Anolis sagrei: one gene and its partner. The protein of the gene in region 2 interacts with the protein of the main gene of each other region in a biochemical or structural test. Links are inferred from orthologs where the notes say so. Each region holds a gene or a part of one and is shown on either strand. Other genes may lie near its edges. The genes, in order: SIX3 and NR4A3.

The links.
Region 1: the proteins of NR4A3 (region 2) and SIX3 form a complex in vitro, tested with the Homo sapiens proteins (3 studies listed by BioGRID). The link is inferred for Anolis sagrei from reciprocal best matches to the Homo sapiens genes NR4A3 and SIX3.

Annotation. Positions count from the first base shown.
Region 1 is NC_090021.1:28,040,034-28,047,130, forward strand, and holds the start of SIX3 (homeobox protein SIX3), read right to left. Parts: upstream 3,115-7,097; 5' UTR 2,506-3,114; coding exon 1,673-2,505; intron 1-1,672. UniProt on the Homo sapiens protein: Transcriptional regulator which can act as both a transcriptional repressor and activator by binding a ATTA homeodomain core recognition sequence on these target genes.
Region 2 is NC_090026.1:61,209,418-61,217,504, forward strand, and holds the start of NR4A3 (nuclear receptor subfamily 4 group A member 3), read left to right. Parts: upstream 1-5,069; 5' UTR 5,070-5,305; intron 5,306-8,087. UniProt on the Homo sapiens protein: Transcriptional activator that binds to regulatory elements in promoter regions in a cell- and response element (target)-specific manner.

The DNA of each region.
Region 1 (7,097 bases), on a different chromosome or scaffold from region 2:
GGACGGGCAACTTTTTGCAATGCTTTGCCTCTCTTTGCTTTCCTTTGGCGCCCTTTCCTCTGCCTTCTCTTTATCTTGATCCCCCCTCTCAGCAAAGGGATTTGTTTGTTTGCTTGATAATGAATAAGGATAGAGAAACAGCCGCTTCCTGGTCTTCCCAGCCCCCTTCAGAAGGCAGCTTTCCATGGGTTTATTTAGAATATTTACTGAGGAAAGCTGAGAAGAAGGCGAGGGAAAAAGTTTCTGCGTTTCTTGCCTGGCGCAGATCAAGAAGCACAGCCAGCCCTCCTTTTCCCTCCTCCTCGCATTGCATTGTTTGTTATTCCAGCTCCGGGTTCATCCTTTCATGTGATCCTTTTGACAAGTCACAGCGAAAGGGCCAAGTGACATTTCAGAGACATAAAATCCAATCATAACACTAGTCGGAACTCCAATGCAAGCGGCGAGGAGGGAGGATTTATTTACAGACCGATTTGTGCCCGAGGATTGTCCGCGGAAGGGAAAACAGGACGGCTTCCGCTTCAGGCGATTTCTCTCTCTCTCCTCTCTCTCTATCTGCTTCTCTCTCCTCTCTTATGGTGATGGGTCCCTAGTTAGATCCCTCGCTTTATTCTTGTGGGTACTCAAACGGACACGCAGGTACACACGTGTTCTGAGAATTGGGGGGAATTTGAACGGGTGGAAAGAGTCCAGTTTCCAAATATATTTTAAGATCATAAGAGAGTTTGGCGAGCAGGCAAAACTTTGCAACTGGGATAGCATGGAGAACTCCAAGCGGGGAATGGAAAGGCAAACACACCTCTCTCGGCAGGATGGAGAGAGACAAAACTCCGGGTTTTTAAAGGAAGTGTCTCTTTAGAAGGAGGGAAAGAACCCCACTCAACTTTCGGGTTTCTTTTGGCTTTCCAGGAGGGGTTTCTGCCCTGCTAGAGAGGGGACCCACACTAACAACATCGCGATTTCTGGGGAGGGAAAGAGGCTCTGAAAGCCGAGCAGGGCAGCCTAACTCATGGCCTGTGGCGAGGAGCAGGGCTTGGGGGGTTCCTGGTCACGCGTGGAAGGAGGAATGCGAGTTGGGGATCCCCCAAAACCTCCTCCTGCAAGGACGCGTGAAAGTTGGGGGGAGGTATCCCTGAACTTCCGTGGGTGGGTCTGGTGGTCTGTGGTCACGCGTGGGTTAGGAAGCACGAGAGTTGGGATTTGGGGAGCCCTCACTGTTGGTTTTCAGATTCCCCAACACTCACACTCACTCCTGAGAGTCCCTGGGAGTCCCTGACCTTTGACTTGTTCACGTGTGAGTGGACGCGCAGGAGCCGGGGGTCCCCCAAACCTTCTCCCTAAAGGACTTGTGCGAATTGGGGATCCCTCACACTCCTTCCTGAAAGAACGTGGGAGAGCTGGGGGGGGGGGGGTCCCTGACTTTACGTGGGTGGGTTCGGGGGGGGGGTGTCCCATATCACGCGTGGGAACAGGGGTCCCCATTAAACCTCCTCCCTAAAGGACGCGTGGGAGTTGAGGATCCTTCCTGCTCCCTGGTGAGTAATGGGGGTTCGCACTGGTCACGGGTGGATGTCTATGCGAGAGTGGTGGGTGTCCCCTGCCCCCTACCCGTGGCCTCTCCCCTCCAACCCCACGCACAGCCCTCCCCTGCACACACTCGCGTGGGACTGACCTGTTTTTGGCGGCGGCGGCCCGGTCGCGCTGCCGTCGGTTCTTGAACCAGTTGCCGACCTGGGTGGGGGTGAGTCCCGTGGCCTGGGCCAGCTCCCTCTTCTTGCTGGGGTTGGGGTAGGGGTCCTGGAGGTACCACTCCCTCAGGAGGCTGCGAGTCCGCTCCTTGAAGCAGTGGGTCTTCTGCTCGCCGTCCCAGATGGTGCGCGGGAGCGGGAACTTCTTGCGGACGCGGTACTTGTCGACGGGGCCCAGCGGCCGGCCCCTCAGCTTCTCGGCTTCCTGGTAGTGGGCCTCGAGCCACATGGCCTGCAGCTTCCCGTGCGACTCCTTGGTGAACTTGTGGTTCTCCAGGATGTGGTAGAGGTCGCGGAAGTTGCCCGTGTGGAAGGCCACCACGGCCCGGGCCCGCAGGATGGACTCGTGCTTGTTGATGGCCTCGCAGGCGCCCGGCGCCACCGGCAGCGACCACAGGAAGCGGCCCAGGCGCTCGATGTCGCCCGTCTCCTCCAGCGTCTCGCAGACGCTGGCCACTTGCTCCGGGGAGAAGTTGAGCGTGGGCAGCTGGAACATGGACAGCTCTTCGGGCCCCACGCGCGACGAGGACGACGACGAGGAGCCGCCGCCGGCGGAGGAGCCTCCAGTGCCGCCCGAGCCTCCACCTCCGCCTCCTCCTCCGCCTCCTCCAGGTCCGGTGGTGGTGGCCCCTCCGCCGCCTCCGCTGGCCAGCAGGAGCGAGCGGTGCGGGTGGTGGTGGGCCGGGTGCGGCTCGCTGGGGAAGTTGGGCAGGAAGAAATGGGCCGGATAAAGCTCTAGAGGGGATCGGAACACCATGGGACCCAGCCTGGCGGGCGGACGGGGAGCGGGGGGACGGCGAGAAAGAAGAAGGGAGAGAGGAAGAGGAGAGGAAGAGGGATCAAGGCGAAGAGGAGGAGGAGGAAGAGGAGGAGGAGGAGGACGGGGAAGTAGAAGCAGCCCAGGAGGAGAAGGAGGAGGAGGAGGCGGAGGGGAGGGAAAGGGGGCCCACGCACCCCACGCGCATCCGCAGCCGCATAGAGACCCTCGTCCGAACCCACGCTCCCCCCTTCCTCGCTCCCACTCGCGATCAGCCCCACGCAGGCGTCCAGGAAGGCATCCGAGCCGCCGTCTTCCTTTCCCCCTTCTCTCTCTTTCTCTCTCTGGGTCTCTTGCACACTCACTCACTCACTCACTCTCTCGCACACCCAAAAGTCCCCCTGCTGCCGCCGCCGCCGCCGAGCCAAAAAAAAAAACCCACCCCAACCCAAACCAGGGGGCTTGCTTTTCAGTGACTCGGCCGCGGTCGCCCTAATGCCAACCGCCACCCGCCTCATAATATCTCTCTCTCTCCTCAATCCGCCGCGTAGTGCGGGCGCCCGAGCATTTTGTTTCGCTTTTTCTATTGGCCTGCCGGGCGTCGTTGGGGCGTCGCCATGGCAGCGGGCTGCCAATCACTGTCAGCCCTGCCAATCATCGGGGGCTACGTCAGAGGAAGGGGGCTCTCGCCCAAAAGGCGGAGGGGAGGGGAGTGGGGAGGGGAGGAAGGAAGGAAGGAAGGAAGGAAGGAAGGAAAGAAGGAGGGAAGGAAGGAAGGAGGCAGCCAGCCTGAGAAGGAGGGGAAGGGCCGGAGGAGGAGGAGGAAAGCTTCCCTCTGTGTGTGTGTGCTTTAATCGCTGCAGCTCCCAAGCTTAGCACTTCCACTTTGCCCGGTCTTTCTTCCTCTATCAACAACAGCCCCCCTAAACCCTCTTTCTTCCTCATCCCACCAGTCACACTCTCTTTCCTCCCGATTCTCCCAGTTATACCCTCTTTCCTCCCAGTTATGCCCTTTCCCCTCCCAGTTATAACCTCTTTCCTTACAATTATACTCTTTTTCTTCCCAGTTACACCTTCTTTCCTCTCAGTTATGCCATCTTTCCTCTCGATTCTCCCAGTTCTTCTCTTTCCTCCCAGTTATACCCCTTTTCCTCCCAGTTATACCCTCTTTCCTTACAATTGTACTCTCTTTCCTCCCAGTTATATCCTTTTTCCTTACATTATACTCTCTTTCCTCCCAATTATGCCCTCTTTCCTCCCAATTACAATCTCTTTCTTCCCAGTTTTGCCTTCGATTCGTCCAATTCATCTCTTTCCTCCCATTTATGCCCTCTTTGATTACATTATACCCTCTCTAGTCCCAGTTATACCCTCTTTATTTACAGTTATACTCTGTTTCTTCCTAGTTACACCCTCTTTCCTCCCAGTTATATCCTCTTTCCTCTCGAGTCTCCCAGTTGTTTTTCCTCCCAGTTATACCCTCTTTTCTCCCAGTTATACCCTCTTTCCTCCCAGTTATACCCTTTTTCCTTCCATTATACCTTCTTTCCTTACAATTACACTCTCTTTCTTCCCAGTTACACCCACTTTCCTCCCAGTTATGCCATCTTTCCTTTTGATTTTTCCAGTTATACCCCCTTTCCTTACAATTACAGTCTCTTTCCTCTCAGTGATTCCCTCTTTCTTCCCAGTTACATCCATTTTCCTCCCAGTTATGCCATCTTTCCTTTCGATTCTCCCAGTTATTCTCTTTCCTCCCAGTCATAACCTCTTTTCTCCCAGTTATACCCTCTTTCCTTACAATTATACTTTCTTCTCAGTTATGCTCTCTTTCTTCCCAGTTACACCCAGTTATACCCTCTGTCATCTCAGTTTTGCGTCTTTCCTTTCGATTCTCCCAGTTATTTTCTTTCCTCCCAGTTACATCCTCTTTCCTCCCAGTAATGCCACCTTCTCTCTCTCTTCTTCCAGTTCTTCTCTTTCCTCCCAGTCACCCGCCTCTTCCCTCTCTCTTCTCCCACTTCCACCTTCTATCCTCCCGACCCCTCATCCCCCCAAACCCTTTCTTAGCACACAAAATGCTCCTCCTCTTGTTTATTTCAGGAGCCCCTGGCTCGCTTCTTTCTGGAGGTCTCTCTCTTTTGCTGCTTCAAGAAAGGGGGAAAGAATCAGCCACCCCTCGAAAGGAAAATGGGGAAGGGGAGGAAGGTGGCGGTGTGGTTTCAGGCGAAGACGGTGGCCCCGCGTGGGATAAAAGGGCTCCGAAGGGAGACGATTTGCACATGATTTGCACGTAGTTGCGCTTCGTTTCTGCCTATCTGAGCACTAATAGCGCCGGGGAAAGAAAAGCGAGATGAGATCATTAGGCCCATCCATCCGCTGACCCGGCCAGGAGAGGCCTCCCAAGGATGGAGCCTGTCGGAAAGGGGGGAGAAGCAGGTTAGTTTCCTCTCCCTCTTCCCCACCCACAGCCCCTGAAGTTCCACCGGGGGTCCCTTCAGCGTCCAAACTTTGCCAAACTCTTCCTTCCATCTCCAGGTTGTGGGAAAACAGCACAGGTTTGGGTCCTTCCAGGGGAAAGAAGGAAACCTCTCCGACTTCATCCCGGTTGGATTGGGTGGGATGTGCTTCTGAGTGAATCCACGTTTCCAAACCAACCACAACAACCCCTGGACTGTCCCAGAATCAGGGAAGAAATGCACATTTCAGCAAATTTTGTTGGGGAAGAGGGTCAGGGTGATAGTTTAGATCTTCCAGAAAATTATCTTCCATTTTCCATTCTTCCCACTCCCCTCAATTGTCATAAACCCCATTCATTGCCTCTTTTGTTGTGCGTTTTATCCTTCTGCCAGAGTCTGGAGATAATATGCATCCCCTCTGGTCACTTTCACCTCTTCAGGATGAGATTTCCTCAGTTCTTTCCTTGTATTTATGTTTTTTTTTAAAGGAAACCTATTTTGTGAAAATCCAGCAAGTGGATGGAAATACACACCTATTTAGACTATATATGCACACTCCTATACACACTGGCATATAGATGTAGGTGTATAAAGTACTCTCTTGGTGTATGTATATGTGTTTGCGCGTTTGCATATGCACAAACAGCCTTATATATATTTGTGTGTGTATAAGAGAGATTTGTGTATGTGTGTGTGTATTTATGTATCTATACATATATGGATATATAGCAAATATAATATATAGGGATGATATTTATGTGTGTGTAAGAGAGATCTGGTGTATGTATGGATAGATAGATAAATATAATATATAGGGATATTATATATAGGGATATGCATATATTATAATAATGTGTGTGTAAGAGGGATCTGATGTGTGTGTATAGATATAGTAAATATAATATATAGGGATGATATTTATGTGTGTGTACGAGGGATCTGGTGTGTGTATGTATGGATGGATAGATAGATAATAAATATAATATATAGGGATATACGTGTATAGGGATATATATATTATAATAATGTGTGTAAGAGGGATCTGGTGTGTGTGTGTGGATATGTGGATATATAGTAAATATATAGGGATATATAAATATATAGGGATATATATTATATTTATGTGTGTGTAAGAGAGATCTGGTGTGTGTGTGTGTATATATATATATAGGTAGATATATTATATAGGAATATACATATTGATATATAATAAATATAGTATATAGGGTTATGTATATAAACGTATAGGGATACACACACACATATAATGTGTGTGAAAGAGGGATCTGGTGTGTGTGTGTATGGGTATAGAGTAAATACATTATATAGGAATATACACATAGATATATAATAAATATAATATATAGGCATATGTATATAAACATATAGGGATGTATATATGTGTGTGTGTAAGAGGGATCTGGTGTGTGTGTATATATATATATATATGGGTATAGAGTAAATATATTATATAGGAATAAACATATGATATATAATAAATATAATATATAGGGTTATGTATATAAACATATAGGGATAGATAGATAGATAGATAGATAGATAGATAGATGATAGTGTTTGTAAGAGGGATCTGGTGTGTGCGTATATACACACATACACACAAATCAGGTCTATGTATCTGTGTAAGAGAGAGATCTGATTTTGTTTCTCTCTCTGTGTGTGTGTGGTGTGTATTTGCGTGAGTGTGTAAGAGAGGTCTGGCCGTGTGTGTATGCCTAGGAGCACCTTTCTGAGCCTCCTTCTCCCAGGAGTAGCTCCGCCGGCCTTCCCTTCCGCCGCCCGCCTGCATTTTGATCCGGAGGTGCGTCGCTTTTTAAGGCGATTTTAATCGGCGTGTTGAGCCGGTCACTCCTTTGTGTGGTTGCTGCGGCCATGGAAGTGTGGTTTACAGAGATTTGTACGGGTCATGGCTGTCTTTCCAGCCCGACTGTGTATATTTAGACAGGACTTTGGTTGGTGTTAAAAAGTGTATATTTTGAATGGGTTCACACACAGTCGCCAACAATAGGGACATTGTCGAGGCATGTAGAACGCGTATTGAAACGCAGCATCCAGACTTCTCCTAATCTGCCCTCAATAAAGCTGAAATAATTATCCTAAGCCGCCTTTCTA
Region 2 (8,087 bases):
CTTTTGGCGAGTAGATGTATAATCCGATATTATTGCTCCCTTCAACACTTCTGCCACTGGAGTATACGCCCTCCAAATGGGAAGTTTAGTTTCACAACTCTGTTTTTACGAACTCCCTGCAAATAACCTGCTCCTATTTTTATCTCATTAGAATCTTTTAATTGTTTTATCCTGTTCATGCGGCCCACCCACTGTTATTGTGATTGTATTTATTGGAATGTTTTTTCTATGTAATTTTGATGTTGTTGTTTGTTGTTTATGTTTTTGGTTTTATTCTGCTGTAATTATGTTGTCCGGGCTTGGCCCCATGTAAGCCGCTCCGAGTCCCCATTGGGGAGATGATGGTGGGGTATAAATAAAATTTATTATTATTATTATTATTATTATTATTATTATTATTATTATTATCTTACATTCATCACATCTGTTCTCGGTCCCACCCTCTTCATAAGCAGGACTGGTGGGGATGAGAGACAGGGCCTTCTCAGTGGCGGCCCCTCGACTATAGAACTCCCTCTCCAATTATATCAGATTGGTTCTTACCTACAAAGCCCTAAGCGTGACCGCATCTCCATATACAAACCCACACGATCTCTTCGATCATCTGGAGAGGCCCTACTCAAGATCCCACCTGTGTCACAAGCGCAATTGTTTGGGATGAGGGACAGGGCCTTCTCTGTGGTGGCCCCTCAACTCTGGAACTCTCTCCCCAAGGACATCAGACAAGCCCCAACGTTGGCAGTCTTTAGGAAGAACTTGATGAGATGGTTGTTCCAGTGTGCCTTCCCAGAATAGGAAACTCTTAGCATCATGTCCCCAATGCACTTTATTAGAGTTTAAGATATCTCCAAAAACCTATCCTTTTCACCTATCATGTGCAGCATTTTTAAAATTTTTAATCATTACATTTGGCCCGGCCTTAGTTTTTAAATGCATTGTGGTGTTATTGTCTAATGTTTACTGTTATTGCTTTAATGTTTATTGCTTTGTTTTATGAGTTTATTTATTGTTGTAGTTGTTATTCTGTTGTTTTATTGATGTGTTGGGCCTTGACCTCTTGTAAGCCTCACCGAGTCCTTTGGGAGATGTTAGCGGGGTATAAATAAAGGATTATTATTATTATTATTATTATTATTATTATTATTGGCCCCCTCCTTCCTGGTGTTCAGGAAAAAAGTCAAGGTCAAAGCCAGCACTTTGAATTGAGTTCAGAAGTGGACCACCAGTGGAGCTGACACAACAAGGGGGCGTTTTGGTTTTTTTGTTTGTTTGTTTGTTTTTTGTCGTGTCGGGAGCGACTTGAGAAACTGCAAGTCCCTTCTGGTGTGAGAGAATTGGACGTTGCCCAGGGACGCCCGGATGATTTGATGTGGGAGGCTTCTTTCATGTATTGTCAAAGGCTTTCATAGCCGGAATCACTGGGTTGTTGTAGGTTTTTTCAGGCTGTATGGCCATGGTCTAGAGGCATTCCCTCCTGACGTTTCGCCTGCATCTATGGCAAGCATCCTCAGAGGTAGTGAGGTCTGTTGGAACTAGGAAAAAGGGGTTTATATATCTGTGGAATGACCATGGTAAGACAAAGGACTCTTGTCTGCTGGAGCTAGGTGTGAATGTTTCAACTGACCACCTTGATTAGCATTTGATTGCCTGGCAGTGCCTGGAGCAAACTTTTGTTGAGAGGTAATTAGATGTCCCTGCCTGCTTCCTCTCTGTTGTTGTGCTGTTGTAATTTTAGAGTTTTTTAATACTGGTAGCCAGATTTTGTTCATTTTCATGGTTTTTTCCTTTCTGTTGAAATTGTCCACATGCTTGTGTATTTCAGTGGCTTCTCTGTGTAGTCTGACATGGTGGTTGTGAGAGTGGTCCAGCATTTCTGTGTTCTCAAATAATATGCTGTGTCCAGGTTGGTTCATCAGGTGCTCTGCTATGGCTGACTTCTCTGGTTGAAGTAGTCTGCAGTGCCTTTCATGTTCCTGGATTCTTGTTTGGGCAATGCTGCGTTTGGTGGTCCCTATGTAGACTTGTCCACAGCTGCATGGTACATGGTAGACTCCTGCAGAGGTGAGAGGATCCTTCTTGTCCTTTGCTGAACGTAGCATTTGTTGGTTTTTCTTGGTGGGTTTGTAGATTGTTTGTATGTTGTGTTTCCTCATCAGCTTCCCTATGCGGTCAGTGGTTCCCTTGATGTATGGCAGGAACACTTTTCCTCTGGGTGGATCTTCATCTTGACTCTCGTGGCTTGTTCTCGGTCTTGCAGCTCTTCTGATGTCTGAGGTGGAATATCCATTGGCCTGTAGAGCCCAGTTGAGATGGTTCAGTTCATCTTGGAGGAGGTGGGGTTCGCAGATTCTTTTTGCATGGTCTGCCAAGGCTTTAATGATGCTTCTTTTTTGACTTGGGTGATGGTTGGAGTTTTTCTGTAGATATCTATCTGCAGGCCTGTAGCGAGGGGGTGGTTTTAGGGGTTCAAACCCCCCCAAAAAATGTTTCAGATTTTTTTAAAAAATCTGGTTTACTCATGAACTTTAACTGGTTAACCAAATCCCCACGCTAAGTCTATGTGATGCAAAAAATTAAGAGTACCTTTAGAACTGTAAGCACTATCTCAAGCAAATATTGACAATTTATTCACACTGTCATTACTTGCAGCAATAGCAGATGTAGTGAAGCAACCAAGTTGGGTGTGTGTGTGTTGAATGCTCTCATTAAGGAGGCCAGACTTGGTGGAGGTGGTTGACAGGGGTGGAGCTGCAGGCTATGGAAGGTTGCTCTGCCCCCTGCTGTGCTCTTTGCTTCAGCGTGAGCTAGGAGGCAGGTTTCAACCCCCCCCCCCCCCGAAATTTTCAACCCTCCCCGAAATTTTTTTCTGGCTACAGCCCTGTCTATCTGTGTGTGTGGGTTTTCTGTAAACGGTGTGACCCAATTGTTGATCTGGTTTACGGATGACTGTAAAATAATAATAATAATAATAATAATAATAATAATAATAATAATCTTTATTTATACCCCGCCATCTCCCCAAAGGGGTCTCAGGGCGGCTTACTTGATTCAAAGCAGATTATCCGGATTTTATATAGCAGTATAAAAGGTTCCATAGGCCCCTAAGGGTCCATGCAGCTGAATAAAATCCTACATTTTTCTGCTTTGAATTCAGTGTGGACTCAGCTCAGATAACCCAGTTCAAAGCAGATATTGTGGGTTTTTCTGCCTTGATATTCTGGGTTATATGGCTGTGTGGCAAAGCCCATAGTGATCGTTTTTACCCAGTTTGGATCCCTGGGTGCCTTTCTTTCCTCCAAGAGAGGCCAGGTTAAAAAGAAATTATTATTATTATTATTATTATTATTATTATTATTATTTTACAGACACAAAAACACAGTATGTCACAGCAAACGAGATCTATATGCTGGAGTTCGTATCTAGAAAAGGCAGTCTTCCTTCCTTTTCTTTTTCCATAGTGAACTGGATGTTTGGGTGGATGCTGTTAAGATGGTCCAGAAACCTGTTGAGTTCTTCTTCTCCATGGCTCCAAATGGTTCCCAGTTCCAGCAGACCTCACAGCAGAGAGGAAACAACCAGGCACATCTTAACATCTTGTTCAAGGAGCTCCACTGGCTGCCATTTATTTTCCGAGCCCAATTCAAGGTGCAGGTGCTTACCTACAAAGCCCTGAATGGTTTGGGACCACCCTACCTGCGTGACCGCATCTCCATCTACGAACCCACACGCTCACTCCGGTCATCTGGGGAGGCCCTGCTCGTGATCCCACCTACGTCGCAAGCGCGCTTGGTGGGGACGCGGGACAGGGCCTTCTCTGTGGCGGCCCCCCGACTTTGGAATGCCCTTCCAAAAGAGCTTCGTCAGGCCTCTACTCTAGCAGTTTTCAGAAGGAACCTAAAAACATGGCTGTTCCGATGTGCCTTCGCAGATTAGGAATCCCCATCCCAAGTCCTAGATGCACTTTAGCACAACTAATGTTGCTGCACACCGCACTTTAATCCTACGTTCCTCCTGCCATCTCAGCACTTTTAACCCTGTACCCCATTGCGCTGGCCGAACCAGTTTTAATAGTGTCTTGATATATTGTCATTGTGGTTATTTTGCTTAATTGTTTTGATTTGCTTTGTTTATTGTTGTGTTATGTTTTTCTATTGTATTGTGTTTTGAGGCTTCGGCCCGTGTAAGCCACATCGAGTCCTTCGGGAGATGCTAGCGGGGTACAAATAAAGTTAATAATAATAATAATAACACCTCTCAACAAAAGATTTTCCCAGGCTCAGCCAGGCCTTCAAATGCTAATGAGGGTGGTCAGTTGAAACATTCACACCTAGCTCCAGAGAAAAGCTCTTTGCCCCACCCCAGCCATTCCACAGATATATAAACCCTTTGTCCTAATTCCAACAGACCTCACTACCTCTGAGGATGCTTGCCATAGATGCAGGCGAAACGTCAGGAGAAATGCCTCTAGAACATGGCCATATAGCCCGAAAAAACCTACAAGAACTGAGTGATTCCAGCCATGAAAGCCTTCGACAATACAGTGTGGACCACTGTTGCCAGATCAGACTTCCCAAGGTAGGGGTGCAGCTGGTGCACAAGCTTTAATTGTGCAAAAACTCCCCTAAACCTGGGGTTCCAGGCTCAGAGATGAATCCAGGATCACTCCCAAGCTGCCAACCTGCACCTTTCAGAAAGTAAGAGTTCTTTCTGCCTCCTGGAGCAGGCGATCTTCCTGGGAAGCCCGATCCGGTCGAGGGCTTCCCTTCTTCCTTCCCTGGGCTCTTGTTTCCGCGTCCGAGTGCGCGTGCTGGTTGTACAGGCGCGAGACACCCAAGCACACACAAGCACCCTTCCCTCCTTCCTTCCTTCTTTCTTTCCCTGCCTGCCTGCTTTCTCCATTGGCGCACAATCCCCACTCGCACACAATCACACGCCCTCTCTTTCTCTCTCTCCCCAGCTCAGCCCAGACAGCGGCGGCGGCGGGGCGGGCAGGGGGCGGGGGTCAGCCGCGTCAGGCTCCCATGGCGTCACGATTGACGTCTCGCATTCCAGCCGCTGCCTGAGAGGCCGCCGGGGCTCCTCGCATAAATGACGTGCGGCGCGCGGAGGGAGAGAGAGATTGAGCGCGAGCAGGAGCGCGAGCCAGGCAAAGAGAGGCAGCGCAGCCCGGAGCTCCGAGGTGGAAAGCCAGGCTCCCGTCGCGCCGATGCCGCCTCGCTCTGGAGCGACTGAAGGAGAGCACGCTTCCCCGGAGCAGCCGAGGAGGTCCAACTCTATGTAAAGACGGAACCGCCACCGCAGCCGAGTGAGTCGGAGCAGGGACGACTTGGGCAAAGTTTGGGCTGTGAGGGGTCTGGGGTCGCTTCTCTGGGGTCGGATCCGTACTCCCCCCCCTCCCCTAAAAAACCCAGGCATCGCTCGCTTTTCGCCTCCGCTGTTGTCATGGGGACGACGCTCTCCAGAGCCGGATTTTGATGCCTCCTCGTCCAGGGTGAGGCGTGAGCAGTGGGTCCGAATTGGAGAAGGGATCGGGGGCGGGGGGGGGGGGCAACAACAAAGCGGGAGGGGTTGCAGGGTTGCAGGCAACGGCGCCCCCCACACATCAATCCAGCAAGTGGAGCGACGCTCGCAAGTAGCGGCTCCAAACTTTTCAAGAAGGCGGAGATCGGGGAGCTTCTGCTTCCTCCTTCCCTTCCAAGGACTAAGCCTCGGAGGAGAGGAAGCGATAGATAAAGCGGAGAGCAGCCGGCTGCCTTTCCCGATTCACTTGCCCCCCACAACAAGCCTTTCCTCCTTCTTCTTCTCCTTCTTCTCCATCTCGTCCTCCTCCATCTCGTCCTCCTCCTTCTCCTCCTCCTCTTTCATCTTCTTCTCCTTCTTCTACTTCTCCTTCTCCTTCTTCTCCTCTCCTTCATCCTCATCATCTTCATCTCCTCCTTCTCCATCTCCTCCTCCTCCTTCTCCTCCTCCTCCTCTTTCATCTTCATTTCCTCCTCCATCTCGTCCTCCTCCTCCTCTTTCATCTTCTTCTCCTTCTTCTACTTCTCCTTCTCCTCCTCTCCTTCCTTATCATCTTCATCTCCTCCTTCTCTATCTCCTCTTCCTCCTCCTCCTTCTCCTCCTCTTTCATCTTCTTCTCCTTCTTCTACTTCTTCTCCTCCTTCATCTTCTCCTTCTCCTTCTTCTTCCTCATCATCTTCATCTCCTCCTTCTCCATCTCCTCCTCCTCCATCTCGTCCTCCTCCTCCTTCTCCTCCTCCTCCTTCTTCTCCTCTCCTTCTTCTTCCTTATCATCTTCATCTCCTCCTTCTCCATCTCCTCCTCCTCCTTCTCCTACTCCTCCTCTTTCATCTTCTTCTCCTTCTTCTTCTACTTCTTCTTCTTCTCCTCCTTCATTTTCTTCTTCTCCTCCTTCTTCTTCTTCCTCATCATCTTCGTCTCCTCCTTCTCCATCTCCTCCTCCTCCATCTCGTCGTCCTCCTTCTCCTCCTCCTCCTCTTTCATCTTCTTCTTCTACTACTACTTCTCCTTCTTCTCCTCTCTTTCTTCTTCCTCATCATCTTCATCTCCTCCTTCTCCATCTCCTCCTCCTCCTCTTTCATCTTATTCTCCTTCTTTTACTTCTCCTCCATCTTCTCCGCCTCCTTCTTCTTCCTCATCATCTTCATCTCCTCCTCCTCTTTCATCTTCTTCTCCTTCTACTTCTCCTTCTCCTCCTCTCCTTCTTCTTCCTCATCATCTTCATCTCCTCCTTCTCCATCTCCTCCCTCTATCTCGTCCTCCTCCTTCTCCTCCTCCTCCTCTTTTATCTTCTTCTCCTTCTTCTACTTCTCCTTCATCATCTTCATCTCCTCCTTCTCCATCTCCTCCTCTTCCTTCTCCTCCTCCTCCTCTTTTATCTTCTTCTCCTTCTTCTACTGCTCCTTCTCCTACTCCTTCATCTCCTCCTCCTTCTTCTTCCTCATTTTTTGTCGTGTCAAGAGCGACTTGAGAAACTGCAAGTTGCTTCTGGTGTGAGAGAATTGGCCGTCTGCAAGGACGTTGCCCACGGGACGCCCGGATGTTTTGATGTTTTATCATCCTTGTGGGAGGCTTCTCTCATGTCCTCGCATGAGGAGCTGGAGCTGATAGAGGGAGCTCATCCGCGCTCTCCCCAGATTCGAACCTGCGACCTGTCGGACTTCAGTCCTGCCGGCACAGGGGTTTAACCCACTCCGCCCCCTGGGGCTCCTTCTTCCTCATCATCTCCTCCTCCTCCCTCTCCTCCTCCTCCTCCTCCTCCTCTTTTATCTTCTCCTTCTTCTACTTCTCCTTCTTCTCCTCCTTCATCTTGTTCTCCTCCTCCTTCTTCTTCCTCATCATCTTCATCTCCTCCTTCTCCTCCATCTCCTCCTCCTCTTTCGTCTTCTTCTCCTTCTCCTTCTCCTTCTCCTTCATCTCCTCCTCCTCCATCTTCTTCTCCTTCTTCTACTACTTCTCCTCCTCCTCCTCCTTAATCTTCTTCTCCTTCTTTTTCTTCTTCTCCTTCATCTCCTCCTCCTCCATCTTCTTCTTCTACTACTACTTCAAACTACAAGAAAGGCGATTCCATCTGAACATGAGGAAGAACTTCCTGACTGTGAGAGCCGTTCAGCGGTGGAACTCTCTGCCCCGGAGTGTGGTGGAGGCTCCTTCCTTGGAAGCTTTGAAACAGAGGCTAGATGGCCATCTGTCAGGGGTGATCTGAATGCAGTATTCCTGCTTCTTGGCAGGGGGTTGGACTGGATGGCCCATGAGATCTCTTCCAACTCTTTGATTCTATAATTCTATGATTCTATGTACATGTGGCCCACCCACTGTTATTGTGATTGTATGATTCTACTTCTTCTTCATCATCTCCTCCTTCTCCTCCTCTTTCATCTTCTTCTACTTCTTCATCTCCTCCTTCTCCTCTTTCATCTCCTTCTCCTTCTACTACATCTCCTCCTCCACCTCCATCTTCTTCTACTTCTTCTTCATCTCCTCCTCCTCTTTCATCTTCTTCTCCTTCTACTACTTCATCTCCTCCTCCACCTTCTTCCTCATGTTCAGATGGAATCGCCTTTCTT